Linked DNA regions of Sus scrofa. The protein of the gene in region 4 binds, or shares a complex with, the protein of the main gene of each other region. Links are inferred from orthologs where the notes say so. Each region holds a gene or a part of one and is shown on either strand. Other genes may lie near its edges.

The links.
Region 1: ARID1B (region 4) and SMARCB1 share a complex: the UniProt entries of both Homo sapiens proteins name them as parts of the neuron-specific chromatin remodeling complex. The link is inferred for Sus scrofa from reciprocal best matches to the Homo sapiens genes ARID1B and SMARCB1.
Region 2: ARID1B (region 4) and SMARCE1 share a complex: the UniProt entries of both Homo sapiens proteins name them as parts of the neuron-specific chromatin remodeling complex. The link is inferred for Sus scrofa from reciprocal best matches to the Homo sapiens genes ARID1B and SMARCE1.
Region 3: ARID1B (region 4) and DPF1 share a complex: the UniProt entries of both Homo sapiens proteins name them as parts of the neuron-specific chromatin remodeling complex. The link is inferred for Sus scrofa from reciprocal best matches to the Homo sapiens genes ARID1B and DPF1.
Region 5: ARID1B (region 4) and ACTL6B share a complex: the UniProt entries of both Homo sapiens proteins name them as parts of the neuron-specific chromatin remodeling complex. The link is inferred for Sus scrofa from reciprocal best matches to the Homo sapiens genes ARID1B and ACTL6B.
Region 6: ARID1B (region 4) and DPF3 share a complex: the UniProt entries of both Homo sapiens proteins name them as parts of the neuron-specific chromatin remodeling complex. The link is inferred for Sus scrofa from reciprocal best matches to the Homo sapiens genes ARID1B and DPF3.
Region 7: ARID1B (region 4) and SMARCD3 share a complex: the UniProt entries of both Homo sapiens proteins name them as parts of the neuron-specific chromatin remodeling complex. The link is inferred for Sus scrofa from reciprocal best matches to the Homo sapiens genes ARID1B and SMARCD3.

Annotation. Positions count from the first base shown.
Region 1 is NC_010456.5:49,903,244-49,907,311, forward strand, and holds the start of SMARCB1 (SWI/SNF-related matrix-associated actin-dependent regulator of chromatin subfamily B member 1), read right to left. Parts: upstream 2,801-4,068; 5' UTR 2,603-2,800; coding exon 2,510-2,602; intron 1-2,509.
Region 2 is NC_010454.4:21,801,410-21,804,539, forward strand, and holds part of SMARCE1 (SWI/SNF-related matrix-associated actin-dependent regulator of chromatin subfamily E member 1), read left to right. Parts: intron 1-184; coding exon 185-357; intron 358-880; coding exon 881-982; intron 983-2,103; coding exon 2,104-2,314; intron 2,315-3,130. UniProt on the Homo sapiens protein: Involved in transcriptional activation and repression of select genes by chromatin remodeling (alteration of DNA-nucleosome topology).
Region 3 is NC_010448.4:47,141,506-47,144,593, forward strand, and holds the end of DPF1 (zinc finger protein neuro-d4), read right to left. Parts: intron 2,512-3,088; coding exon 2,399-2,511; intron 1,878-2,398; coding exon 1,766-1,877; intron 1,618-1,765; coding exon 1,547-1,617; 3' UTR 501-1,546; downstream 1-500. UniProt on the Homo sapiens protein: May have an important role in developing neurons by participating in regulation of cell survival, possibly as a neurospecific transcription factor. Belongs to the neuron-specific chromatin remodeling complex (nBAF complex).
Region 4 is NC_010443.5:10,224,581-10,228,636, reverse strand, and holds the start of ARID1B (AT-rich interactive domain-containing protein 1B), read left to right. Parts: upstream 1-1,256; 5' UTR 1,257-1,281; coding exon 1,282-2,901; intron 2,902-4,056. UniProt on the Homo sapiens protein: Involved in transcriptional activation and repression of select genes by chromatin remodeling (alteration of DNA-nucleosome topology).
Region 5 is NC_010445.4:8,556,299-8,558,774, reverse strand, and holds part of ACTL6B (actin-like protein 6B), read left to right. Parts: coding exon 1-48; intron 49-258; coding exon 259-345; intron 346-2,476. UniProt on the Homo sapiens protein: Involved in transcriptional activation and repression of select genes by chromatin remodeling (alteration of DNA-nucleosome topology).
Region 6 is NC_010449.5:96,251,555-96,255,561, reverse strand, and holds the start of DPF3 (zinc finger protein DPF3), read left to right. Parts: upstream 1-1,207; 5' UTR 1,208-1,271; coding exon 1,272-1,303; intron 1,304-1,456; exon of another isoform or gene 1,457-2,026; intron 2,027-2,638; exon of another isoform or gene 2,639-2,724; intron 2,725-4,007. UniProt on the Homo sapiens protein: Belongs to the neuron-specific chromatin remodeling complex (nBAF complex).
Region 7 is NC_010460.4:5,985,966-5,989,465, forward strand, and holds the end of SMARCD3 (SWI/SNF-related matrix-associated actin-dependent regulator of chromatin subfamily D member 3), read left to right. Parts: coding exon 1-91; intron 92-298; coding exon 299-460; intron 461-1,570; coding exon 1,571-1,668; intron 1,669-1,826; coding exon 1,827-2,064; intron 2,065-2,262; coding exon 2,263-2,385; intron 2,386-2,502; coding exon 2,503-2,604; intron 2,605-2,799; coding exon 2,800-2,853; 3' UTR 2,854-3,155; downstream 3,156-3,500. UniProt on the Homo sapiens protein: Involved in transcriptional activation and repression of select genes by chromatin remodeling (alteration of DNA-nucleosome topology).

The DNA.
Region 1 (4,068 bases), on a different chromosome or scaffold from region 4:
CTGAGATCAGGGTTCTGCCTTGTTGGGTTTTCCCAGAACCAGCCTTTGCCATCTGGACCACGGTTTCCCAAATGCAAAGTGAAGGTGTGGATAAGGGGACTTCCTAGGGTCCTCTCAGTTGTGACTCCAGTTTGGTGATTACAGCTGCCTCCAGATGACAGGAGAGGGACGACACACTCACTGCAATTGCAGATGCCCTCCCAAGGCTGCACACCCAACTGGGGAGGGGGCACAGTGGGTGCTGCTAAGGCTGGCCGGTCTCGCTGAATATGGTGCCTGTTTGTCAAGGGCAAGGGGTCTGGAGGCTGTCCACTCAATGCTGTCAGAGGAGCTACTGGATATCTGGAGACAGCACTCTGATCTTGAACCTTTCCCAGAACTCCCACGGTCTGATGATTGCTAAGCCAGGCCCCTGAAAGCACAGCCTCTCCTTTCTCCCATCTGGTCTCTATAAAATGTGTCTCTGGGCAAATGTTCTCACTCAACAGGGCTGAAAGAGAAGACTGCAGTTAGCTTTCAGATCTTAGAGATCATCTAATCTAAGCATCTCCTTAGAGCCACGAGAAAAGTGACATGGAGGCAGAGCTAGAACCAGGCCTCCTGACGTTCTGCCCACCTAGCCATATGCTGCTTCTCAATTTGCTCCACCTAATAATAAATGCAAGCTGGATTTTTTTTTTTTTTTTTTTTTTTTTTCCCCCACCCATGGCATGCAGAAATTCCCAGGTCAGGGATTGAACCTGAGCCACAGCTGTAACCAGAGCCATGGCAGTGACAATGCTGGATCCTTGACCTGCTGGGCCACCAGGAAACTTCTGCAACCTGGATTTTCAAAAGTGTATCTCCAACTCAGAGCCAAGGCCAAAGTGACTGCTCTTCCTGTCCATTAGATCACATAAAGGTTTCTTTAAACAATCTGCTCATTATCACAGACTGAAACTCCTCTCCTGCCTTTGTATCCCACATTTGAGCAGGTACCTACCACTCCATGAGGACCATTCTGAGCTATGGCAGGGACTGGTTCCTCCCCAGCACAGCTAGCTTTCAAGGGTAGCATTTCTGTGATGACAGGGAAAATGTATTACATCCTGTCCCTTGTGTTTTATAAAAACTGGTAAAAAATGGAAACACTAGAGTTCTGTTGCTACTGACAACAATGGTCTCATAACTCAATAAAACTCAGAGGAGCCAAGGATTACAGGGTGTCCTGAAAGCCCCAGTGTGACCATTATAAGACTTAATTCATTCACACCATGTTCAACTGTGAAGGAAAAAACCCAAACATTGTGAAGAAAAAAAAAAGGGGGGGAGTTCCCCTTGTGGCTCAGCGATGACAAACCCAGCTAGTATCCATGAGGTTTCGGGCTCGATCCCTGGCCCCACTCGGTGGGTAAAGGATCCACCACTGCGGTGAGCTGTGGTGTAGGTCGAAGACGAGACTTGGATCTAGTGTTGCTGTGGCTGTGGCATAGGCCTGTGGCTGCAGTTCTAATTCAATCCCTAGCCTAGGAACTTCTACATGCGCAGGTACAGCCTGGGGGAAAAGAAAAGGATGAAATGTTTAATATGGAAAACCGTCAGCATTTGTTATCTGCTTTAACACCTCCGGACTTCCACTTACCTCCTTACATGTGGGGGACACTACTGCTTGGTAGTTGCACATCTGAATTGTATATGCATAATTTAAAAATACATGCGTGTAAGTGTGTGTATACACACACTAACTGGGGACTGCCAAAAAGGATTAGTTTGAGGCAATCTGGAAAAACTTAATATACTTTGTATGAACTACCAATAAAGGACCAGTTGTAGGGTTTTCCTAAAGTTAGTCATCCAGCTGACTCTACGAACTGCTGCCACTTTAGCTAAGGATTAAAGATCGTTAGGCTCTTTAAAAAAAAAGTCAGTCCACGACATTCAAAGTGTCACCTGCTTCCGAAACTGCTGATAGATCTAACTCACAAACTGGAGCCTTATCCATCCAAAAGCAAGCATCTTCCTCCCAACCTGTTTCCTCACCATTAATTAAAGGTCAAAACACCTCCCTGCCCACCTCGAAGTCAATGAACGCAGTGCGGGTGAGTCCTCACTAAGCTGGGTGCTTCGAACCTGCGATTTCAGGGTCCCAGTTGCAGCAACGGGAAAGGATGCATGTGGGGGGGGTCCAACATCTTCCCCCCAAGGTGTGGCAGGGGACGACTAAAAACCCCGCTTCTGTGCTTCCCGATGGAGTTTTGGAACTCATCATGGAACCAGGGGCCACCAGGACGCCCCAGCCCCGGCATCCGGGCGCGTCCTGGACCCTGCGACACGGGTGGGTAAAACCACAGTAGAGCGCGGGGCGGGACCTGATCGATCACCCCCTCGCCCGACCACGCCCCGCCCACCGCGCCCGCCCGCCCGCCGCGATGAATGGAGACGCGCATTCCCGCCGCGCAGGCCCGCCCCGAGGCTCCCGCAGGGGCAGGGCCGGCTGGGGCCCGGAGGACGAGGATGCGCCGTGGGCTACCTCAGAGCCGATCATGTAGAATTCGCCGTCGTCCTCCAACTGGAACTTGACGGGCTTCTGCCCGAAAGTCTTGCTCAGCGCCATCATCATCATTGCGGCGGCGGAGACAGGCAGCCAAAGCCCGGCGTGGCTGCGAGTGTTGGGAGGGGTCAGGCAGGGCCGGAGCGCGCCAAGCCCAGGGAAGCCGGAGTTAGAGGCGAAGGGCGGGCGGGACCGAGTGCTCGCGCCGCCGCCGGGCTTCTCCGCCACCGCCGCAGACTAGGCCGCCCTCACTGCGCAGGCGCGGGCGTTGACGCTAACGCGCGCGCCGCCGCCGCCGCCGCCTAAACAAAAGGTCGGGGCGCGCCCCCGCGGGTCCCTTAAAGAAGCCTCAACCTGTGTCCCTTCCTCCCAGGCAAGCGGGGCGGGTTGGGGGCAGAATCAAGGAACACTTTTTTTGTGTTTTGTTTTGGTTTTTTTTGTCTTTTTAGGGCCGTACCCGCGGCATATGGAGGTTCCCAGGCTAGGAGTCTAATTAGAGCTGCAGCTGCCGGTCTACACCAGAGCCACAGCAACGCGGGATCTGAGCCGCGTCTGCGACTTACACCTCAGCTCACGCAATACCGGATCCTTAACCCACTGAGCGAGTCCAGGGATTGAACTGGCAACCTCATGGTTCCTAGTCAGATTCCTTGCCCCTGGGCCACGAAAGGAACTCCCCAAGGGACACTTCTCATGGACAGAAATACAACGGCGGCCCTGACTCAGGCTGCGGCTTTCCCAGTCTCACCGCTGGGACTGGAACTCAGCCCAGGGGAGGAGAAGCAAATTGAGGCCTGAAAGCCGGGAAGGGGCCCGGAGTACCTGTGACTCCGTTTCCCCACCTGGAGAACGCAGTGCAGCTGAGCAGATGAGAGGGTTCCCAGAACAGATAACCCAGTTCTGGGCCCACAGCTGTTACTGCAACTTCAGAGATGGAGGTGGTGAGGACGAAGGCTCCTGGGCTTGGCAGGATTCCAAAGCCCAGGCGGTTGGCTTGCCTGGTGCTTGGGATGAGTGTTGGAGGGGAGGGGACCATCTACAGACCATCTCCGTTCCTTCCTTAACTCTGGGCTTTGTGCCTTCCACCAGCCCAGTGCATTAAAATTATACAGCCCTGCCCTGGGGTGCTTAGAACCAGAGTGGGGCCTGCATCAAAGCATCCATGTATCTGGTGGAACAGTGCAGTGGGTCAAAAACGGCCTCCTGCTGACAATTTCCTGTGGTTCCATCTAACAAACTGCAGCTGTGATGGCTGCAGCTCTGAAGAAGATTCCCAGAGGCTGGGATGAAGGCAAGGAGACCTTGGAGAGTTAGGACTGGTCAGTCCTCTTAGCCAGTTTTGTCCTATGTTCTGACAGTAGCAGGACAGGGGCTGGGGCATAGTAGGATCAGAAAAAGTGACCACCGCTTAGTGGAGAAGCAGGGAAGCAGGAAACATTACAAAGCCACTCAAGGGGAGTTCCCGTCATGGTGCAGCAGAAACAAATCTGACTAGGAACCATGAGGTTGCGGGTTCAATCCCTGGCTTTGCACAATGG
Region 2 (3,130 bases), on a different chromosome or scaffold from region 4:
CTTAGCCAGTGTATCCTATGTGGGATGATGAAATGGCTGCCCCAGTGTTCCCTGGATGCCTTGTAGGCCCACTTGTTAGACCAGTGAGGGCCCTGGCTCCTTGGTAATTAAGAGTTAACCTTGTTCCACGCTCCCAGTTACGGTTACTGGTGACCTGATTTCCAGATCATCTTGTTTTTTCCAGATTATGATGATGGCTTTTCAATGAAGCATACAGCCACTGCCCGTTTCCAGAGAAACCACCGCCTCATCAGTGAAATCCTCAGTGAGAGTGTGGTGCCAGACGTCCGGTCTGTTGTCACAACAGCTAGAATGCAGGTCCTCAAACGACAGGTCCAGTCCTTAATGGTTCATCAGGTAAAGTCACAGACCATTTGGTACAATAAAATGTGCCTAGGCCACAGGTGCCAGGCGACCTGATTCTGTACCATGCGTCCGTGTGCCTCTTAAATTTATGTTCAGTCTGACCTGTTCCTGATTCGGGGAAGAGGCTTGAGGGAGTAGCTAAGTTTCCCAGAGATTTAATAAGTTTGTCATTAAAACGGTGACAGAGCCTTTTGGCAGAGAAAGTATTTGCATTAAGAATTTTGAGACATCCTAATAACTTCTACGGCTGTCATAAATATTTTTTTCCATAGAAATCCCTGAGGCCAGAAACCATATGCCTCAACATGTACCTCTCAGTCGTTCCTCTCCACTGCATTTCACACTTTTTAAACCTTAGCTGGACACATGTGATAAATAATTTAAATGAAAAATTCAAAACATCTATCCCACTATGAGAAAGTATGGACTCTTAAAAAAAGAAGATTTTCTGTGTTTGATATTTGCTCTCGAGAAGATACTCGGTAGTAACAAAGCCTGGTCATATGTTTTACAGCGAAAGCTGGAAGCTGAACTTCTTCAAATAGAGGAGCGACATCAGGAAAAGAAGAGGAAATTCCTGGAAAGCACAGATTCATTTAATAATGAACTTAAAAGGGTATCAGTTTTAATATGTTAATTATGCTTTTATCACTGTGTTTTTTCCGAAAAGAGTGTTTTTAAGGAACGTTGTTCACTTTGAAACAGTGTTAACTTTGCTATAACTGGTAAGATGTTTGCACGGTAAAATAATTCCCATTTTCTGGCAAAACTACAATATGTTTGAAATATCATGTAGTGTACACGTATGTACTGGGCCTTGGACTCTAGAACCCTCTGATGTTTTAATGTACACTCAGGCAGTCATAAATTATTTTCATTTTTTTTGCAATTTTTTCATTAAAGGTCTTCATTAGCTGTAGTTCACAATTTGTACTTTTTTTTTTGTCTTTTCTAGGGCTGTACCCACAACATATGGAGGTTCCCAGGCTAGGGGTCTAATCGGAGCTGTTGCTGCCTGGCCTACACCACAGCCACAGCAACGCAGGATCCGAGCCGCGTCTATGACCTACATCACAGCTCACGGCAGCACTGGATCCTTAACCCGCTGAGCGAGGCCAGGGATTGAACCTGCAACCTCATGTTCCTAGTCGGATTCATTAACCACTGAGCCACGACGGGAACTCCGTACTTTGTTTTAAGACATTAAAAGTAATGTTTGGCAGCCTGAAATATAAAATGGGAGGTTTGTATATAAAACAGTACTTTTTGGGGGTTGGTTTTTTTGTTGGTCTTTTTAGGGCCGCACCCACAGCATATGGAAGTTCCCAGGCTAGGGGTCGAATCGGAGCTGCAGCTGCTGGCCTACACCACAGCCACAGCAACTCGGGATCCAAGCCACATCTGCCACCTACACTGAAGCGCCTGGCAATGCCGGATCCTTAACCCACTGACCAAGGCCAGGGAACAAACCTGTGTCCTCATGGATGTTGGATTTGTTTCCACTGAGCCACAGCAGGAACTCCCTCTCCTGTGATCCTTGATGTCACATGGCTGCGAGGGCAACTTTTTCTGCAGACCTGAGAGCTTCAGAGAAGACCTCCAGCTTCTTTTTTTCTGCCTTATACGTGTGTACAGTTCTTAGCCAAGGAAACTCACTTTTGAGACAGTGTCTCTGGTTCAGAGATTATGAGGAAAGAACATCACTAAGAGAGCTTCTTGGGTTTTGTTTTCTATTAGTTGTGTGGTTTGAAAGTAGAAGTGGATATGGAAAAAATTGCAGCTGAAATTGCACAGGCCGAGGAACAGGCTCGCAAAAGGCAGGAGGAAAGGGAGAAAGAGGCAGCCGAGCAAGCCGAGCGCAGCCAGAGCAGTATCGTTCCTGAGGAAGAGCAAGCAGCTAATAAGACGGAAGAAAAGAAGGAAGACGAAAGCATGCCAGTGGAGACAGGTAACCTGCCAGGTCACACCACCATGAAGGTCAACCCAGGGTCTCTCCCGCTGTCTTTAATTCCGCTTTCCCTTTCTCGGTGCTGCTCGGACATCGCTCTGTTAATCTTGCCTCTTGAGTTCTTCTCCATCTGACCCTCCCACTTCTTTGCACATCTTAACCTCTCACAGTAGATTCACTTAAACCGATGGTTTTGGTTCAAAACAGCAGTGATGTGTTGTCTTTAGTGTTGCTGTTTGAGGTCTTTGCCTGGATTGATTCGTGTCATTCCCTGGCTTGAGAATATGAAGCGTGATGCTATAAACGGTTAAGGATACAGACAGATCTAGGTCTACTGCTGCTGCACCACTGCTAGCACTGTGACTTTGGGGAAATTATTTAGTCTTAGTTTCCTCATTTCTGAGCATTCTAGCTCCTGTATCTGAGAGAATTCTAAAGGATAAATAAGAAAATGTACATAAAAGCATATAACTGGATTTGATGTGGTGTAAACACTCAAGATTTTAACCTTTTTGCGGAAGTTATTCAAACAAGATGTGGTCATTGCTCTTAAGTCATCTTTGGTGTCTTAGAACAGGCTTGGGCAAATAAAACCTGCAGCCAAATCCTGCCTGCCACCTGTTTTTGTAAATTAAGTTTTGTTGGAATCATTTGTTTACATATTGTCTGTGGCTGCTCTGGGGCTACAGCAGTAGAGTTGGGTAGTTTCGGCAGAGACTGCCTGGCCCACAAAACCCAAAATATATTGACTAGCCTTCGCAGTAAGCAGTAAGTGTTTGTTGACTCCCTCCTGGAGGAATTCAGACTTCCAGATCT
Region 3 (3,088 bases), on a different chromosome or scaffold from region 4:
AAATCTTTTTTTCTCCTAATGTCCCTGGATCTGTCTTTCTCTCCTTTGCCCCTTCCCCTCTCCTCTTTGCCACACGTCAGGCTCAGGGGCGCCAGGCCATGAGTGGGCCGAGGCCGTGGCGCTCCTGGCACCCCTGCCCTGTGCCAAGCCCCAGGAGGGGAGGAGCGGGGCCGGGCTCAGTCTTCATCTTTCCATCCCTTCCCTTCCCCCAGTCCCCGGCTTCCCGCCTCCCTCCTCGCTGCTTCCCACTGCAGCTGCAGCAGTCCGTTGCCAGGGCAACCACAGCTGGCTGGGTGGGAGCCCCCTCCACCCCATCCCCCCCTCTTTTCCTTTCCGACCAGGCAGGGAGGAGCGGGACAAAGCCAGAGAAAGGCGGGGTGCAGAGGGGAGCCAGAGGTAGGGGCCAGCTCCAGCTGTTAACCTCAGTTGCTTCTCCCCCAGTGAGGCCCCACCTCCAGTTTTGGTGACGCCCCAAACCGGCCTGGAGGACGAGGCAGACGTGGGCAGAGGGGTCAGGCCCAGTTTAATACACAGAACAAGTTAATTCACAGCAGAGGCAGGCAATAAAGGAGACTCGTTTACAAGGAGGGGGCACGCCTGGATTGGAGGAGACCCCCCCAAACCCATCACCTCCCCCACTTGCAGTCTCATTTTCCCTTTTTTTTAAAACCCAAACAACAAACACAACCACAAGAAACAACCACGCCCCCTCGAGACCCCGAAAATGGCCAGCGAGGGTGGCAGGGGGCGGCCCGGCCTGGCCGGTAGGGAATTGGGGCGGGGAAAAATCTAGTCCTTTGCAGAGTCTGTGCTTCTCGTTCCAGCAGGCGCTGGGCAGGGGCCCGCCTTGCCCCACCGGCGGCCAGCCATGGCAGCACGGAGTGGGCACGGGCCGGGCTCTGGGGAGGGAGCGGGAACAGAGCTCAAAACCATGGTTCACATCATGCAGTATCCACGGTGGGCACCAAGGGGGTGGGGGGCCAACACCACACCACCTGCCCTGCGTACAAGGAGGGAATGGTGCCCACCTTGGGTGGGGAGGTGGGACAGCTGCAGTGCCGCAGACTGGGAGGGAGGGGCCGCCAGGCAGGAAGCTGGCATAGACTGGTGCCCAGGAGATGCGCTCGGCAACCCCCCTCCACCCAGCCAGGCCTTATAGGACTCTTTGTATATATTAATTTCTTTTTTTTTTTTAACTTTTTGACTTTTTCTTTAGAAAAAGGCTATGTCCGTGCCCCCAGCTGGCATCCACCACCCCTCGTGCCCGCCCAGAGGCGGGGTATGGCTTTGAGGGGAGCAGAAGCCCCTGGTGCCCATTTGCCAAGGGGTGGGGAAGGAGGGAGGAAGGAGAGGGCCCAGCTGGGCCCACCAACCCACAGGGCAAGCATTCCACTTGCACGGAGGGGAGGGGGTGGCCCCGCCCCCCTCAGGCTCGCCCGCCCCTCCCGCTGTGGGGCATTAAGGATGGGGAGAGAGTGGAGGAGCTCCGGGAGGAGACTCAGGTAGGCAAGCACCACCCCAGAGGTCCAGGTGAGCCAGAGCAGGCCTAGGTGAGGGTGATGTAGGCAGAGGCCTTCTCTTTCAGGTGCCGAAGACAGAGGTGACAACTCCAGCTCCCTGTAGGGTGGCCCGAGGACAGGGAGTAAGACCTGGGTCTGGGCACGGCTGCCCCCACCCCCGCCCACCACCGGCGGGCACCATCTTCCCCAGCAGGAAGTCCACCTGCCAACCCTCCCCCACCCCCCCAGGCCTCCTCTTCGCTCACCTTCTGGGGGCTCCGCCATGGGGGGACTCAGGCAGTACATGTGGTAACCCCGATCACAGTCGTCACAAAACAGCAGCTGGTCCTGGGGGGTGAGACCCGCCCAGCTGGCACCCTGGGGGCACGGGTACCAGAAACCGGGGTGGGGGGGCTGGGGCAGGGGACAGGTCAAAGGGGCTGGGGGAGGTGGTCCCTTCCAGGACAGAGGGCTCTGAGGAGGTCATCTTGGCAAAACCCTGTGAGTGAAACGCCCCTGAGGACTGTCAGTTTGCGGTTTGTCGTTTGGGTTTTCTAAGGTTCTATGGCACACTGAAAATGACACTGGGGCGGTCAGAAGCAATGGATGCGGTGTCAGGTCCCAGCTGTGCCATCTTCTTAGCCGGGTGACCTTGGGCAAGTCTGCTCCCCTCTCTGAGCTCCCTCCCTCTACCTCAGGGTGGTTGGGAGGAGTCGGAGAGTGAAGAGTAGTAAGTGCCAGGCTCAACTAATGGACACTAACTAATAATCATGGTACAGGTTACTGGGTTCACCAGGGAGGGGGCTTCAGGAAAGGCTTTAGACCCAACTGGCAAAGCCGGAGGTGCTGGAGGGAGGCGGCTCCGGGGGCGTGTCCCGGGGAGGGGGGTGGGCACTCACGTCGTTCTCGGAGGTGCCACACAGGCTGCAGGACTTGCACTCGATGCACTGCCAACGGTAGGTTCGCACGGCCGCCGTCATGTTCACCGTGAACTGTAAACACGAGGGGTGTCCTGGGGGCCGAGGGGCAGAGATGCGGTTAGGGGTCGTTGTGCCCCTGGTGGCTACTGACCCCTGGAAGTGAAATGGCTCAGCCCCTACCCCTGGCTCACAAGGCCCACAGGCTGACCCCACCCAGCCCCGGTGCCCAGTGCCCGTCCCTCAGGCAGTGCTGCCGTGGCCACCAGTCTCCTACCCAGCCACCATGGCAACCACACTCTGCTCCCCAGAACACCATGGCAACCGCATTCCATTACCCACAGTGCTGTGGCAACCCCTTTCCACCACCCACAACACCGGGGCAGCCACATTCTGTTAACCACTGCGCTGAGCAGCTGCATTCCATTACCCACAGCAGGATGGCCAGCCCGCCCTGTGAACCGCGGGCACGTGGCAACCCCAGCCTCCCAGCCACGATGCCATGGCAACCGCCTTCCACAGAGGGGTCTCCACGCTCTGGTTCCCTGCGACCCAAGCCCATTACACATGATGCCCCAACCACCACACCGTTACCCACGTGACTATGCAGTGGGCCAACCCCCTGGCCATCCCCCCACCCCCGTGCAGACACCCAGCCGCTACCCGGGGCCA
Region 4 (4,056 bases):
GTTAAATTTCCACGTGCAAGTTGCTGGGAGCATAACGCACCACGCTACGTATTTGAAGACTTTCTCTTCAGAGCGAGGACAGACAAGTGCATGGGAAGGAAAAATGCTCCTTTGGGATTACTTTATGTTTTCATTGATAAGCCTACGTACACATATAAGATGCCTTAAAAAAAGTTATATCAACGTTATTTTTGGGGCAGGTGCAATCAACCTAAGCATTTATTGAGTACCTGCTGTGTACAGGGCACAGCGCTTCTGGAATGCGGCTAACCTTCACTTAAACTCTTTCCTAATTATGCAGTTTAAAGAAGTTGTGGGAATTACATTGACGGCCCGAAATCAAGGCAGAGAGGCTAACATGCTGAAAAATTACATAACTCTTGGGAGAGGCAGTGCTTTTGCACAGATTGCCCAAATATCTTCTTTCTCCGTCGGCTCCTCGTAACCTTTGAGGCCAACAGACAACTTTGTTCCCCAGCCCTTCTCCCTCTTTTGTCTGCTCGTCAGACTCGTTTTCCACCTTTGAATCGTTCCTTTTAGACGTGAAAACAAACACGCGAACGCCCGGTTGGCAAGGAGACGGAGGCACGAGGGGAAAGTGCAGCCTCCCGTCGCCCCACGCCGCCGCGCGCCCGGCGCCGGCCGAGCGGCCCGAGCCCCCGGCCCGGGGCCGCCGGTGCCCGCGAGGCTGCGCCCGGGCGGGCAGGCGGGCGGAGGGCGCCGCGGGCGGCGGCGGCCCGGGCCGAGTCCAGTCCGCGTTTTGCGAGTGCGCACGAGTAATCAGAGAGAAGTGGATAATAGTTGCTCGGGCTCGCTCGGCTCCCTCTCATGCCATGCTGGGCCCGATAGGCTCAGTGAGTCGTGTATTTACCCATATCCGGGTTAGAGAGGAAAAGAGAAAAGTTTCATTTAAACCTGAACTAAAAACTTTCACCATGAAATCACACAGCGGGAACAGGCCCAGACCGTAAGGCGTGACTCCCGGTTCGGCTCCGGCGGGGCCTGTGGAGGGGGAGGGGGCTCGCTCGATTCCCGTCGGGGCGTGTGGATGCGCACAGGAGGGGCCGCAGACTAAAAAGTGGGTTTTATTGTCTCCCCCCGCCCCCCGCCCGGCCTCGCCACGCCGCGGCGATCATGGCCGCGCGGGCAGCAGCGGCGGCGCGGGCGCGGGCGGGCAGCGGCGAGCGGCGGGCGCCCCCCGGGCCGCGGCCGGCGCTCGGGGCCCGGGACCTGGAGGCGGGGGCGCGCGGCGCGGCGGCGGCGGCGGCGGCACCGGGACCCATGCTGGGGGGCGGCGGCGACGGCGGCGGCCTGAATAATGTGCACCACCACCCCCTGCACCCCCGTCACGAACTGAACATGGCCCATAACGCGAGCGCGGCGGCCGCCGCCGCCAGCACTAACAGCGCCAAGAGCGGCGGCTCCGAGGCGGCTCTGAAGGAGGGTGGAAGCGCCGCCGCGCTGTCCTCCTCCTCCTCCGCGGCGGCGTCCTCCTCTTCCTCCTCGTTGGGCCCGGGCTCGGCCATGGAGACGGGGCTGCTCCCCAACCACAAACTGAAAACCGTTGGCGAAGCCCCCGCCGCACCGCCCCACCAGCAGCACCACCACCACCACCATGCCCACCACCACCACCACCATGCCCACCACCTCCACCACCACCACCACGCACTACAGCAGCAGCTAAACCAGTTCCAGCAGCAGCAGCAGCAACAGCAGCAGCAGCAGCAACATCCCATTTCCAACAACAACAGCCTCAGCGGCGCGGGCGGCGGCACGGCTCAGCCCGGTCCCGACATGGAGCAGCCGCAACATGGAGGCGCCAAGGACAGTGCCGCGGGCAGCCAGGCCGACCCCCCGGGCCAGCCTCTGCTGAGCAAGCCGGGCGACGAGGACGACGCGCCGCCCAAGATGGGGGAGCCGGCAGGCGGCCGCTACGAGCAGCCGGGCCTGGGCGCCCTGGGCGCGCAGCCGCCGCCGGTCGCTGTGCCCGGGGGCGGCAGCAGTGGCGGCGGCCCGGCGGCCGTCTCGGAGTTTAATAATTACTATGGCAGCGCTGCCCCTGCTAGCGGCGGCCCCGGCGGCCGCGCTGGGCCTTGCTTTGATCAACATGGCGGACAACAAAGCCCCGGGATGGGGATGATGCACTCCGCCTCAGCCACCGCCGGAGCCCCCAACAGCATGGACCCCCTGCAGAACTCCCACGAAGGGTACCCCAACAGCCAGTACAACCATTATCCGGGCTACAGCCGGCCCAGCGCGGGCGGCGGCGGCGGCGGCGGCGGTGGCGGAGGAGGAGGAGGAGGAGGAGGAGGAGGAGGAGGAGGAGGCAGCGGAGGAGGAGGAGGAGGAGGAGGAGCAGGAGCGGGAGCTGTGGCGGCGGCGGCCGCGGCGGCGGCAGCAGCAGCAGGAGGCGGCGGCGGCGGCTATGGGGGCTCGTCCTCGGGGTACGGGGTGCTGAGCTCCCCCCGGCAGCAGGGCGGCGGCATGATGATGGGCCCCGGGGGCGGCGGGGCCGCGAGCCTCAGCAAGGCGGCCGCCGGCGCGGCGGCGGGGGGCTTCCAGCGCTTCGCCGGGCAGAACCAGCACCCGTCGGGGGCCACCCCGACCCTCAACCAGCTGCTCACCTCGCCCAGCCCCATGATGAGGAGCTACGGCGGCAGCTACCCCGACTACAGCAGCCCCAGCGCGCCGCCGCCGCCGCCGCCGCCGTCGCAGCCCCAGTCCCAGGCGGCGGCGGCGGGGGCGGCGGCGGGCGGCCAGCAGGCGGCCGCGGGCATGGGCTTGGGCAAGGACATGGGCGCCCAGTACGCCGCTGCCAGCCCGGCCTGGGCGGCCGCGCAACAAAGGAGCCACCCGGCGATGAGCCCCGGCACCCCCGGCCCGACCATGGGCAGATCCCAGGTAACCCCCGCGCCGGTCGGGCCTGCTTCCGCCGCGGCGGCCTCGCGGCGCGCCGCGAGCCCTAGTTTCTTTCTTTCCGCGTACTTTTTCTGCGTCTTCTGTCGGGGGAGGCGGGGGCGAGACGCCCAAAGCCATTTTAACTCGCGGCTGCCTCCTTCCGAGGCCGGGCAGCGCGCGGGGTCCGACTGCGCGGCGCGGGGCCCGGGGCCTGGGGAGGGGGTCTGGCCGAGGCCCGGGACGGGCGCCGCGGTTGCCGGTCGCGCAGCACCCGCCCGGCCACCCCACCCCAGGCGCCGAGCCGCGCGTGCGGGAGTCGGGGACCGCGCCGCCGGGAAGCCGTGTGGGCGCCGGGGACCGTTCGGGCAGCTTTTTCAACAAAATAGGCGCTCCCGGCCGGTACGGTCGGGGAAGGAAGATTGACCCCCTCTTCTCGGTTAGCGCCAACAATGAGCTAGAACTGGGAAAAGAATGAGGAACTTTGTCCTACCTCCGGCCACACTACGTTCCCTCTTAGCTTATTAGGTGAAGGCAGGAAAAATAGGTTAGCTTTGTGGCAGCCGAGTGTGTTTCGTAGTTGTGCCCAGCCATTCGGAGATATCGGATGCGGGCTTTGAGTTTGTGTAGTAGCAAAAATAATACCCACGTTTACAGCGATGTGGAGGTAAAATATCCTAAAATAAATCGATTCATTCCTAAGAATAGCCGGGAAGTCCATTTTTTGGCTTGCAGGCTGCTCGAAAGGAGTCACCTTCAACAGATAGACTGTGTTGAAGGAACACATTCCGGCTAGATTGAACTTATTTTGATCGTGGATTCGGCATACATTTTATCCAGCGAATCCAGGGAAATAGCGGACCAGTGAAAATTGATCTTTTTGGATAGGATTTATTTGGATTTTAAATTTCCTGACACCCAAGAGCTGCAGCGTTGTTAGGAGGTGTCCTGCACTCTTGCTGTTTCTTGCTCGTAGGCTGAGCCTGAAGACTGACTTGATCTCCTTTGCAAGGTTTGGAATTTGAATTGTGGAGGTAAACTGGCTGTAATAGTCTCCAGACAGCTGCCTCTGAGTTGACATCTAATCTGCCATCTGATTGGCTCCCCTCTCACCATTGGGCATTTAGCACTGCTGATGTAAATAGAAGTGCTGAGCAGTAC
Region 5 (2,476 bases), on a different chromosome or scaffold from region 4:
GGCTTCACTGACAGGCTCAATCGAGAACTTTCCCAGAAGACTCCACCGGTAGGAGCCCATGCGTGGCCAGGGCCTTGGACTCCAGTCCTGGCTTAGTCCTTCAGGACTGAGTCCTTCCTCCTTCCCACGCGTGGAGGGAGTGTTCTGGCCACCAGAGCAGATGGCTGCCTGCTGTGGCTTCCCAGTGCTCCCCACCCCCAGCCCTGACCCTTCCCAGAACCCAGGTGTCGGCTTCCCCCAGCCCCTCTTTCCCCTCAGAGCATGAGACTGAAGCTCATCGCCAGCAACAGCACCATGGAGCGCAAGTTCAGCCCCTGGATTGGTGGCTCCATCCTGGCCTCACTGGTGAGAGGGAAGGGCTTGGCCTAGCACCGAATGTGGGGAAGGGGCAGATCCAGACGGCCCCTGCCGCCTTGCCTGCCTCCTCATTCATTCATTCAACAAGCATTTATTTTGATGAAAGGGAAGTCAGTGCTCCTGGAAAGGCGGATGCGACATCAGGACACAAATCTGGGAGCGGAGGAGAGGAAGCTGGAGAGGCTGGCTGGGATGAGGTCATAGTGGTCTTATAGGCCAGGGCGGGACACTGACTGCTTGGAGAAAGATGGTGTGACTGCCACAGGCACGTTTGGGAAGATTATGTCAGACATGAGTCTTTGGAGATCAGGGTAAGAGCTGGACGCAAGGGGACTTTGCCAGCAGGCTCTTTCTGTAGTCCCGGGTAGTAGTGTGGATGGGGTAGCGAGAAAGGGGCAAACAGGAGGAGGCAGGCAGGAGTTCCCGCTGTGGCACAGCAGGATCAGGGGTGTCTCTGGAGCATTGGGATGCAGGTTCAATCCCTGGCGCGGCACAGTGGGTTAAGGATCCAGCATTGCCACAGCTGCAGTGTAGGTCACAAATGGCTTAGATCTGACCTCCGGCCCAGGAACTCTAAATGCCGCGGGATAGCCAAAAAATTAAAAAAAAAAAGAAGAAGAAGAAGAAGGCAGTAGGCAGATTGGTTCCAGAGCAGAGAGCTGCAGATGCAAACTGTATCTGAGGAGTGTCAGCCACACAGAGAGGAGAGCAAGGTGATGACAGGACAAGGAGGACACCCACTGGAGGGGGTGCCCCCAAAGAGATAGAAGCAAGGGTCAGAACAACAGGAGGCTGACGGTCTGAAATTAACTCAGAGCTGGGAGCATGCCAGTCACCAGTTGCCCCAGGCCTCCCGTGTGCCTGAAGTGGACAGACGTCTGGACCTAGTCCCTGCCTCCATGAGTGGGGACAGTCTGGAAGCCGAGACAAGCAGGAGGTCGCCACAAAGTGTTGGGAGTTCCTAAGGAGTTCCCCTCGTGGCTCAGTGGTTAACAAATCCGACTAGGAACCATGAGGTTTCGGGTCCGATCCCTGCCCTTGCTCAGTGGGTTAAGGATCCGGTGTTGCTGTGAGCTGTGGTGTAGGTTGCAGATGTGGCTCGGATCCCACATTGCTGTGGCTCTGGCGTAGGCTGGTGGCTACAGCTCCGATTTGACCCCTAGCCTGGGAACCTCCATATGCCGTGGGAGCAGCCCTAGAAAAGGCAAAAAAGACAAACAAACAAACAAACAAACAAACAAAAAAACCAAAGTGTTGGGAGTTCTGTCAAAGGAGGACCTGATGTGGCTCAGGGATCATGAAGGACCTCTGAGGACCCTTCAAGCTGAAATGAGTAAGAACTCATGAGACAAAGCGGGAGAGAGGGTGCATGGCCCATGGGGAAGCCAGGCAAAGCCAAAGGCCATGGGCAGATGCTGTGGGATCTGAGTTTGGGAAGCTCGCTTGGGCTGCAGAGCGGAGAGTGGACTGGAGAGGCTACTGTGGTCTCTACTGTGACCTGGATTTGACAGAGGAGCGGATACTGGGGGGGTGGAACTGGCAGCTTCTCAGAGTTCGGACTGACAGAATGTGGACACTCTTTGGATGTGCAAGGTAAGAAGGAGAGGGTCAAGGGTGAGGCCCAGGATGCTGGCTCCTGGCAGTGCTGTCCAACAGGAGTGTAATGGGAGCCACGTATGTCATTTCAAAAATTTTAGTAGCCATTTTTTAAAAACAGTCCAAAAAATAAGAATATATTGTATTTGGGGGGAGTTCCCGTCGTGGCTCAGTGGTTAACGAATCCGACTAGGAACCATGAGGTTACGGGTTCGGTCCCTGCCCTTGCTCAGTGGGTTAATGATCCGGTGTTGCCGTGAGCTGTGGTGTAGGTTGCAGACGCGGCTTGAATTTGGTGTTGCTGTGGCTCTGGCGTAGGCCAGTGGCTACAGTTCCAATTCGACCCCTAGCCTGGGAACCTCCATATGTCGTGGGAGCAGCCCAAAGAAATAGCAAAAAGACAAAAAAAAAAAAAAGAATATATCATATTTGGGGAGCTCTCATTGTGGCTCAGCAGGTTAAGACTCTGACTAGTTCATTATTAAATAAAAAAAATAAAAGACTCTGACTAGTACCCATGAGG
Region 6 (4,007 bases), on a different chromosome or scaffold from region 4:
TTCACCCCTCCCCCACTATCTTAGCTATTTGACCTCATTAAACAACTTTGGATAGTAGCCAGATTTCTGTATGCTAACGAGGCCCCTATTCATGATTTAGTGCGATTTCATCCACCCTGAGCTGCCTGGCTCCTCAGTGGAAGCCTGGCTTCACAGAAGTCTCTCAGTTTTGTCAGGGCTTCGCCAGTGAGGAGTTCGCACGGACTTGAAGCAGACACATTCTCTGAACGCCTCAGGTCACATCTGATTATTCATTAGCAAATTCTTTTCACCTTTTTATCTAATCAATGAAAGGTGACGCCGGAATCGCGTATGCTACTCCCCGAAAGGGACTCTGGCAACACCCATCTAGGTTCCACAACTTTGTCTCGTTACTCTTTCCGAAGAGCAGAAAGCGTTTGCAAAAGTTCTCTTAAACCACCCCTCCCCTAAGCCTAAAGGTCAGAGCGCCAGGCCCCAGTTGGCTCTCCAGCTCTCTGACCATTTAATTTCCGAAGTTTCTGGTTTGTGCGAGGACAGAGGAGGTGGCAGTGGGCAATTGCCTGAGTGACCACCGCGTATTAAGTAAGGAAAGCCTGGCTGCTGGAGGGAACGAGCCTGACATTGAGACATTCCAGGGGGAGGGGAGTTGCTGTCCTGGAGTCGCCAGGAACGGCGGCACCAGTTCCAAGAAATCAGAGGAAGGTGGCCGAGATAAAGACAACACTTCAGGAATGAGAATATTAAAAAGCCGCAGGACCCAGAGCATTAGTAAGCGGCAGGACACGTGTAGTAATTAGACGAAACGGCACCCTTCCAATTTTTGCACTGGAACGAGGGGAATTGTCCTTTGGGGGATTAAAAACGTAACAGTAAAGCCAAAAGCTAATGAATAGGGTTCAACGGTTTGCTTGCAATACTTAAATATTTTCTGTCCAGGACTTAAATATTTCTGTCCAGGAGCGCAACTCTCTGCAGTTGTTTAGAAAGTAAGGATTCAAACCAAACTAGAATACTCTCGTGCGTCTCCACTTTCCCTCATCCGAAAAGGAGCTCTACGCGCGGTACTGCCCCTTTAAGACCTGCTTGCTCTCGGGCTCTACAAAAGGGAGTGACCTCTGGGCTTTGACAGCTCCCCTAATAACTACCACCGTGCAGGCCCCGCCCACCTGGCGACCAGCCGCGCCGATTGGCCAGCGGGCCGGTATCCCGTGCTCTGATTGGCTCGCCGCTTCCCCTGAGCGAACCTTTAGAACTCTGAGACAGACAATATTCTGTTACATTGTAGCAAAATGGCGACTGTCATTCACAACCCCCTGAAAGCGTAAGTAAGACTAAAAAATGTACATTTTCCTCGTGGTTTCAATATGAAAAAAAAGGCGCCTTCTGCGTGCCGAGCGCTGCCAATGCACTGCGCTTGCAGGCGCCTACAGCCGCGGTGGGGCTTCTCTCTTTTCTTTCAGCTCTTACTTCTTCATTTTTTTTTTTTTTTTAACCCGGGCGCGCAGAAATGTCAGGAGAGGCAATTAAGAAGAGGAAAATTGGTACATTTGTGTTCTTCTAAATTGGCGGACTGAGGGAGAGGGGTTACTGGCAGGGGAGCCAGGCGCTCGAGTGCTCTACAGCGAGGGGATCCTGGGCAGCTCAGGGACAGCACGGTCCCCAGAGTGCCCAGCTTCTCCGGGCGGTGAGCGCGGCGCGGGGGGCGGCTCAGCTGGGGGCGAGAGCCAGGCTGGGGCCGCCTGGGTGCACTTGGCTGAGCCCGGTGCTTCTGGAGCCCGCAGCCCCCGCCCCGATGCTAGGTCGGCGGGGGTGAGCGGACCGCTGCAGCTCCGGAGTTTTCAGGGCGCTCTCCGCCTTCTGATCGCTTGCGGGGAGTTTGTGCAAACCTTCCGGAGTTGGGAGGACCGCAGGGGGAGCACCGGGTCCCGGGAGCCCTGGGGCCCAGGTGGTTGCCCGGGGCTTTCCTGACGGGGCAGCCCCCAGAGCTTGACTGCGCTTCGGGCGGTCGCCGGTGTGTCTCCGGGTGTTGTTTGTGGGGAACTGCCTGTAATAAATTAACGACTCGGGTTAACTTGGGGTTGATTTGGAGACTGGGAAGCTGCAGGTCTTATGAATGGTGTTCTTGCCTCCTCTGGGTGAATAGTCGAGGCTGGCGAGAGGCAGCCTGGGGCTCCCCGCCCGAGCGGGTAGCGTCTGCTCTCGGCCAGAGCTAGGGGCAGGTGCCTCTGGCCACAGCCGGGAGACTTTGAACGGACGCCCAGATCCGGGACGGAGGGGGGGCGGGCTGGGCGAGGACACGCGGGGGCCAGTCCCCAGGTCCGACAGCCAATTCCTGCCCGCCTTCCTTCCCCCTCCTTTTTATCCTGGCTTCCTTCCTTCCTTCCAATCCGTGGAACTGTTAAGCCGCCAAGTCCGCTAGCGATCGCGGAGCCGGGGGTGGCTTCGGAAAACTAGCGTCGCTCTAAAAGGGGTGCTCTTGGCAGTAATGTTGGCAGAGGGGCACTCCCTCCGGATCGCAGCGCGACGTGGGTGGGGGCTTGCACCCCTGGGATTATGACTTCGCAGCTAGGCTGGAAGCCGCGGGCAAGGGGAGGGGGAGGTGCGGGGGAGGGCATTTCATGGCGAATTCTCTCGCCAGTGCCTGGAGGATGCCCACCTAGGTTCTTTCAACTCAGCGCATCCACGTTCGCACCCGAGGCTCCTCTTGGAGTTGAAAGCCACGTTCGCACTGGGGGAGGGGGGCGGCAGGGGAGTTCTTAACACGAAGGAACTCGCGGGGAGAATGGGACGTGTTTGCACCAGCTTATCTCCTATCGGTAGTAGGAGAAAAGGTTAGGAATGTCCCAGATCTTGGAGTTTTAAATGTATAAATATGTATTAACCCTAAGAGGACATTGGGAGCTGAGGCTGATTAGAGAGCAGCTCTCGGCTTCAGTTCTCGCTTGGAAGCTCTGATACACTACACTTGAACGCTACAGCGTTTCACCCAAGATAGAAAATGTTTTATGGCAGAATAAATGGGCGTAACTTCACCGCATCCTCTCTCCCGGTCCCTCGCGCTGCTACACCGCTGATGCTGTGAGTTTTTACCGAACCCACAGCTGATTTGCAGTTTTCACATTTCCAGCCCAAATCGCGTAGCCGAGCTGATGCCACCTGGTAAACTCAAGTTAGAGGATCTATTTCACATGTGTGCCAGGTTTGTTTCCTTTTGGGAAAGCAGTACCCTAGTTACCCCTGGGCCCGTTTATACGCTGGCGGGGGCAATATCTCTACGCTCTTTAGCTCTTTACTACCGGCTCCGGTTTTTTGTTTTTTGTTTTTGGACAGCAGAAGACTACATGTTTGGGGAGGGTATCTGTATAGGGTGGGGTTAGAAGTGGGGGAAGGGAGAGAGAAGCAGGCTGGTTATTGGAATTAGTTCTGAATTATTACACTTGTACTTTGTATAATTAGAAACAGTTGCAATGCCATGTATTTGTAATTTTGTGTCGTCACACACACCTACATCTTAGCATACCCTTGACATCCAGCCTGCTTTTTCTAGGTGGGAGTTGAGTGGTCATTTATAATTAGCTGCTCCTTTTTGCATCTTGACCCCTTTCCCTGGGGATAAGGAGGTATAAACAATACCCCTACCAGCCCAGCCTTCTGTGCCTTGGACGGCTTTTAAAGTTCTAGCGCAGGGGCACGCACGTTGTTACCGGGAGATCTACATCATCGGCCTTTATTTTTAAAAACACTTTGTTTAATAGATCATCTTGTATATTTCATTTGTTTTTAAAAGTTGCTTATCAGGAAACAATACACACATGAATAAATTATGCATGGGATAAATTAGAACAAAGCGCAGAGACACTTCAGGCCGAAGGGATAGATGGCGGTGCTGGGAGGAGGGGAGCAGGGAGAAAGGTTTGGAGAGCTATGTTTTTATCCTCACGTGTCCCTCCTGACAATGAAACGGGGCTGAACGACATTAGCATTTTCTCTGCGTGCCTTCTGAGTCTCTCTCTCCTTTCCCTTAA
Region 7 (3,500 bases), on a different chromosome or scaffold from region 4:
GCCCACAACTCAGGAGACGGACGGGTTCCAGGTGAAGAGGCCGGGGGACCTGAGCGTGCGCTGCACGCTGCTCCTCATGCTGGACTACCAGGTCCGTGCCCCCAGACACCCCAGCCCCCTCCCGGGACAGGGTGACCAGACAGGGGGGCCCCAGGCTCCTCACACCTCCCACCCCCGCTCCGAAAGCATGTTTCCACGGAGCCCGACCACCACATCCCCCCCCTACGTCCCAAGCTGCCTGGCCCTGCGCTCCCTCCACGCCCGCCTTTGTCTAACTTGCATGGTCACCTTTCCCCAGCCCCCCCAGTTCAAACTGGATCCCCGCCTGGCCCGGCTGCTGGGGCTGCACACGCAGAGCCGCTCAGCCATTGTCCAGGCCCTGTGGCAGTACGTGAAGACCAACAGGCTGCAGGACTCTCACGACAAGGAGTACATCAACGGGGACAAGTATTTCCAGCAGGTACCCTCTCTCTCGAACCCAGGGCCACGGGGAGCAGGCAGTTTCCGGGAGGGGAAGTGCCTCCACTAAGGTAACAGCACCTCTCCCCTCCTGACTGCATCAGAAACGGTAAACAGTCCTGGTCCGGCTGCCAGAGCCAGAGTCCAGGCTCTTCCTCGCCCCGCTCCGTGCCACAGCCGTCTTAGCCCACCCAGGCTGGGGAATCGGAGCCCTGCGAATCCAGCAGCTTTGGGGAGCATATCCTTGGTACTTGGAGTGAGGATCCCCAGGTTCCAGTCTTGGCTCCGGACTCTGGATAAATGACTTTGCTATTTTGAGCCTTATTCCTTCTCTTACAGTAAGGAGGGTGCTGACAAACTGCTGTGGAAGTGACCTGACAAAATTCTACCAAAGTGGAGATGATCATTAACAATAATTTTTATTTATTTATTTTAAATTTTATTTATTTATTTTTATATTTTTACTTTTTAGGGCACCCACAGCATATGGAGGTTCCCAGGCTAGGGGTCAAATCAGAGCTATAGCCGCCGGCCTACACCACAGCCACAGCAACGCAGGATCCGAGCCGCATCTGCAACCTGCACCACAGCTCACGGCAATGCCAGATCCTTAACCCACTGAGCAAGGCCGGGGATCGAACCTGCAACCTCATGGTTCCTAGTCAGATTTGTTCCCGCGGTGCCTTGATGGGAACCCCAACAATAATTTTTAAAGAAAAACAGCAGATAAACCTGAGTGGTAAAAATAAAGTCAGTGTTTATTGAGCACTTACCATGTGCCAGGCACTGGTCCGAGCCCGTTATGTGTGCTGACTCTAACCTCACAGCCACCCCGTGAGATGGGCGCTATTATCATCCCCTTTCTAGAGATGAAGCAACTGAGGCCCGAGGTGTTGGGTAAGTTGCTCAGCTGCACAGGAAGTGGTGGAAGCAGGATTTCTACCCAGGCCAGCAGCCCAGGCCTTGGCGCTGTCAACCATGCGCTGCATGGACCCGCCCCACTGGCAGCCCCTGCCCAGCCCCGTGGGCTCTGGCTTCCCCAGGCCTTTTCAGAAGGGAATGTGTGCTCTTCCAAACATGCGGCACGAGTGATCTCTCTCTCCTACTTCAGATTTTTGATTGTCCCCGGCTGAAGTTTTCTGAGATCCCCCAGCGCCTCACAGCTCTGCTGTTGCCCCCTGACCCCATTGTCATCAACCACGTCATCAGGTGAGGCCCCAGTTCGCTCTCAGAACAGGGAGTCATTGTGGGGGCGGGGGGGGGGGCTGGCCTCTCAGTCCCTCCCGCTGCCTCCCACTCGGGGCCCCTTCCCTCCCCTTGGCCTCTGTGGGGCAGCAAGGACACCAAGGGCTGGACTTCCCTGGCAGCGTGGACCCGTCGGACCAGAAGAAGACAGCGTGCTACGACATTGACGTGGAGGTAGAGGAGCCACTGAAGGGACAGATGAGCAGCTTCCTCCTGTCCACAGCCAACCAGCAGGAGATCAGCGCTCTGGACAGTAAGGTGGGGCCAGAGCCCAGAGCTGGAGTGGGACATCAACCCCAAAATGACACAAGCACAGACAAAACAGACGAGAACACGGGCCTATGGAGAGAAGAAGGGGAGGTGGGCCTTGCCTTGCTACTTGGAGCTCCGCCCATCCCCCCTTCCCTGGGACTGCAGAGGCCCAGTCCAGCCCCAGGGGACCTGAGGGACAGCCCTTCAAAGGAACAGCAGCAAACCCCTCCCCCCGCCTCCCTTCCCCCTCCCATCCTCGCCCACATCAGCAAGGCCAGGTGAAAGCATCTGTCTTTCTACCTGTAGATCCACGAGACGATTGAATCCATAAACCAGCTCAAGATCCAGAGGGACTTCATGCTAAGCTTCTCCAGAGACCCCAAAGGCTACATCCAAGACCTCCTCCGCTCCCAGAGCCGGGACCTCAAGGTGAAGGGGACTCAGGGAGCACTGGATGGAAGACAAGCACATTGGGAAGACAGTAAACGTTGTGCCCAGGGGCTGGAGGGGATCCGGGCTCAGGGCTGACCCGCTGCTCCCTCCCAGGTGATGACAGACGTGGCAGGCAACCCTGAGGAGGAGCGGCGGGCTGAGTTCTACCACCAGCCCTGGTCCCAGGAAGCTGTCAGCCGCTACTTCTACTGCAAGGTGAGGAGGGCCCAGGACACCTCCAGCCGCACCCTCCCCCACTCCCTGCTCAGCCTCTACAGCCACTCCACCCTCCCCGTCACCACGCAGGGGAGGCTCCCTGCTCCCCCTGCGCCTCCAGGGCCGGGGGTGGGGGGGGTGGTCCTGTCACTCACCGGGAACACGGTAACCCGGCTCCTGCTCCCCTCTCTAAAGATCCAGCAGCGCAGGCAGGAGCTGGAGCAGTCGCTGGTTGTGCGCAACACCTAGGAGCCCTGGGCACGAGCGCTGCTGTGGGCCCCTGGGCCCCTGCCCTGTCACCTCGGGCACTGCCGTCACTCCTGATGCCTTGCGGCCGAGGTGGGGACCGGATTAAAGGTCATTCATCTGATGGCACTCGTGTGGTCACTGGCAACTGGGGAGGGAGGAGGAAGGGGCAGGCCGTGGGTCCCTCTGGGCAGTTCCTCACCCCTCCCGCAGAGCCGCCTCACTCCATTTGCCCTAGACCTAAAAACGGTTTGGCAGAAGACACTTTTAATAACATTTTCTTATTAAAAAAAATACAGCAACAAGCTCTCCATCTGTCCGTCCATCTCGCCTGGCCTTCCTGGGGCTGAGGCCGGAAAGGGAACTAGGTGGCTGGCGGTGGCGGGGCCCCGGGGTGGACTAGGTGCTGTTGGCCTGCTCCTGCTCAAACAGAGCCATGGCGAGCTGGGCGCGCCCCCCCAGCCCCTCCAGGTTGCTGAGGCGGCAGCGGTGGTAGAGTTCCTCGCTGAGCCGAGGGCTGCAGTCACGCAGGGAGAACTTCTGCACCAGCCCTGGCTCCACGGCCCGGAAAAGGTGGAGCCCTGAGAACCGGAGGAAAACATCCATCACCTCCAGCCCCTCCAGGGCTTCCTCCTCTTCCTGGCCTGCCA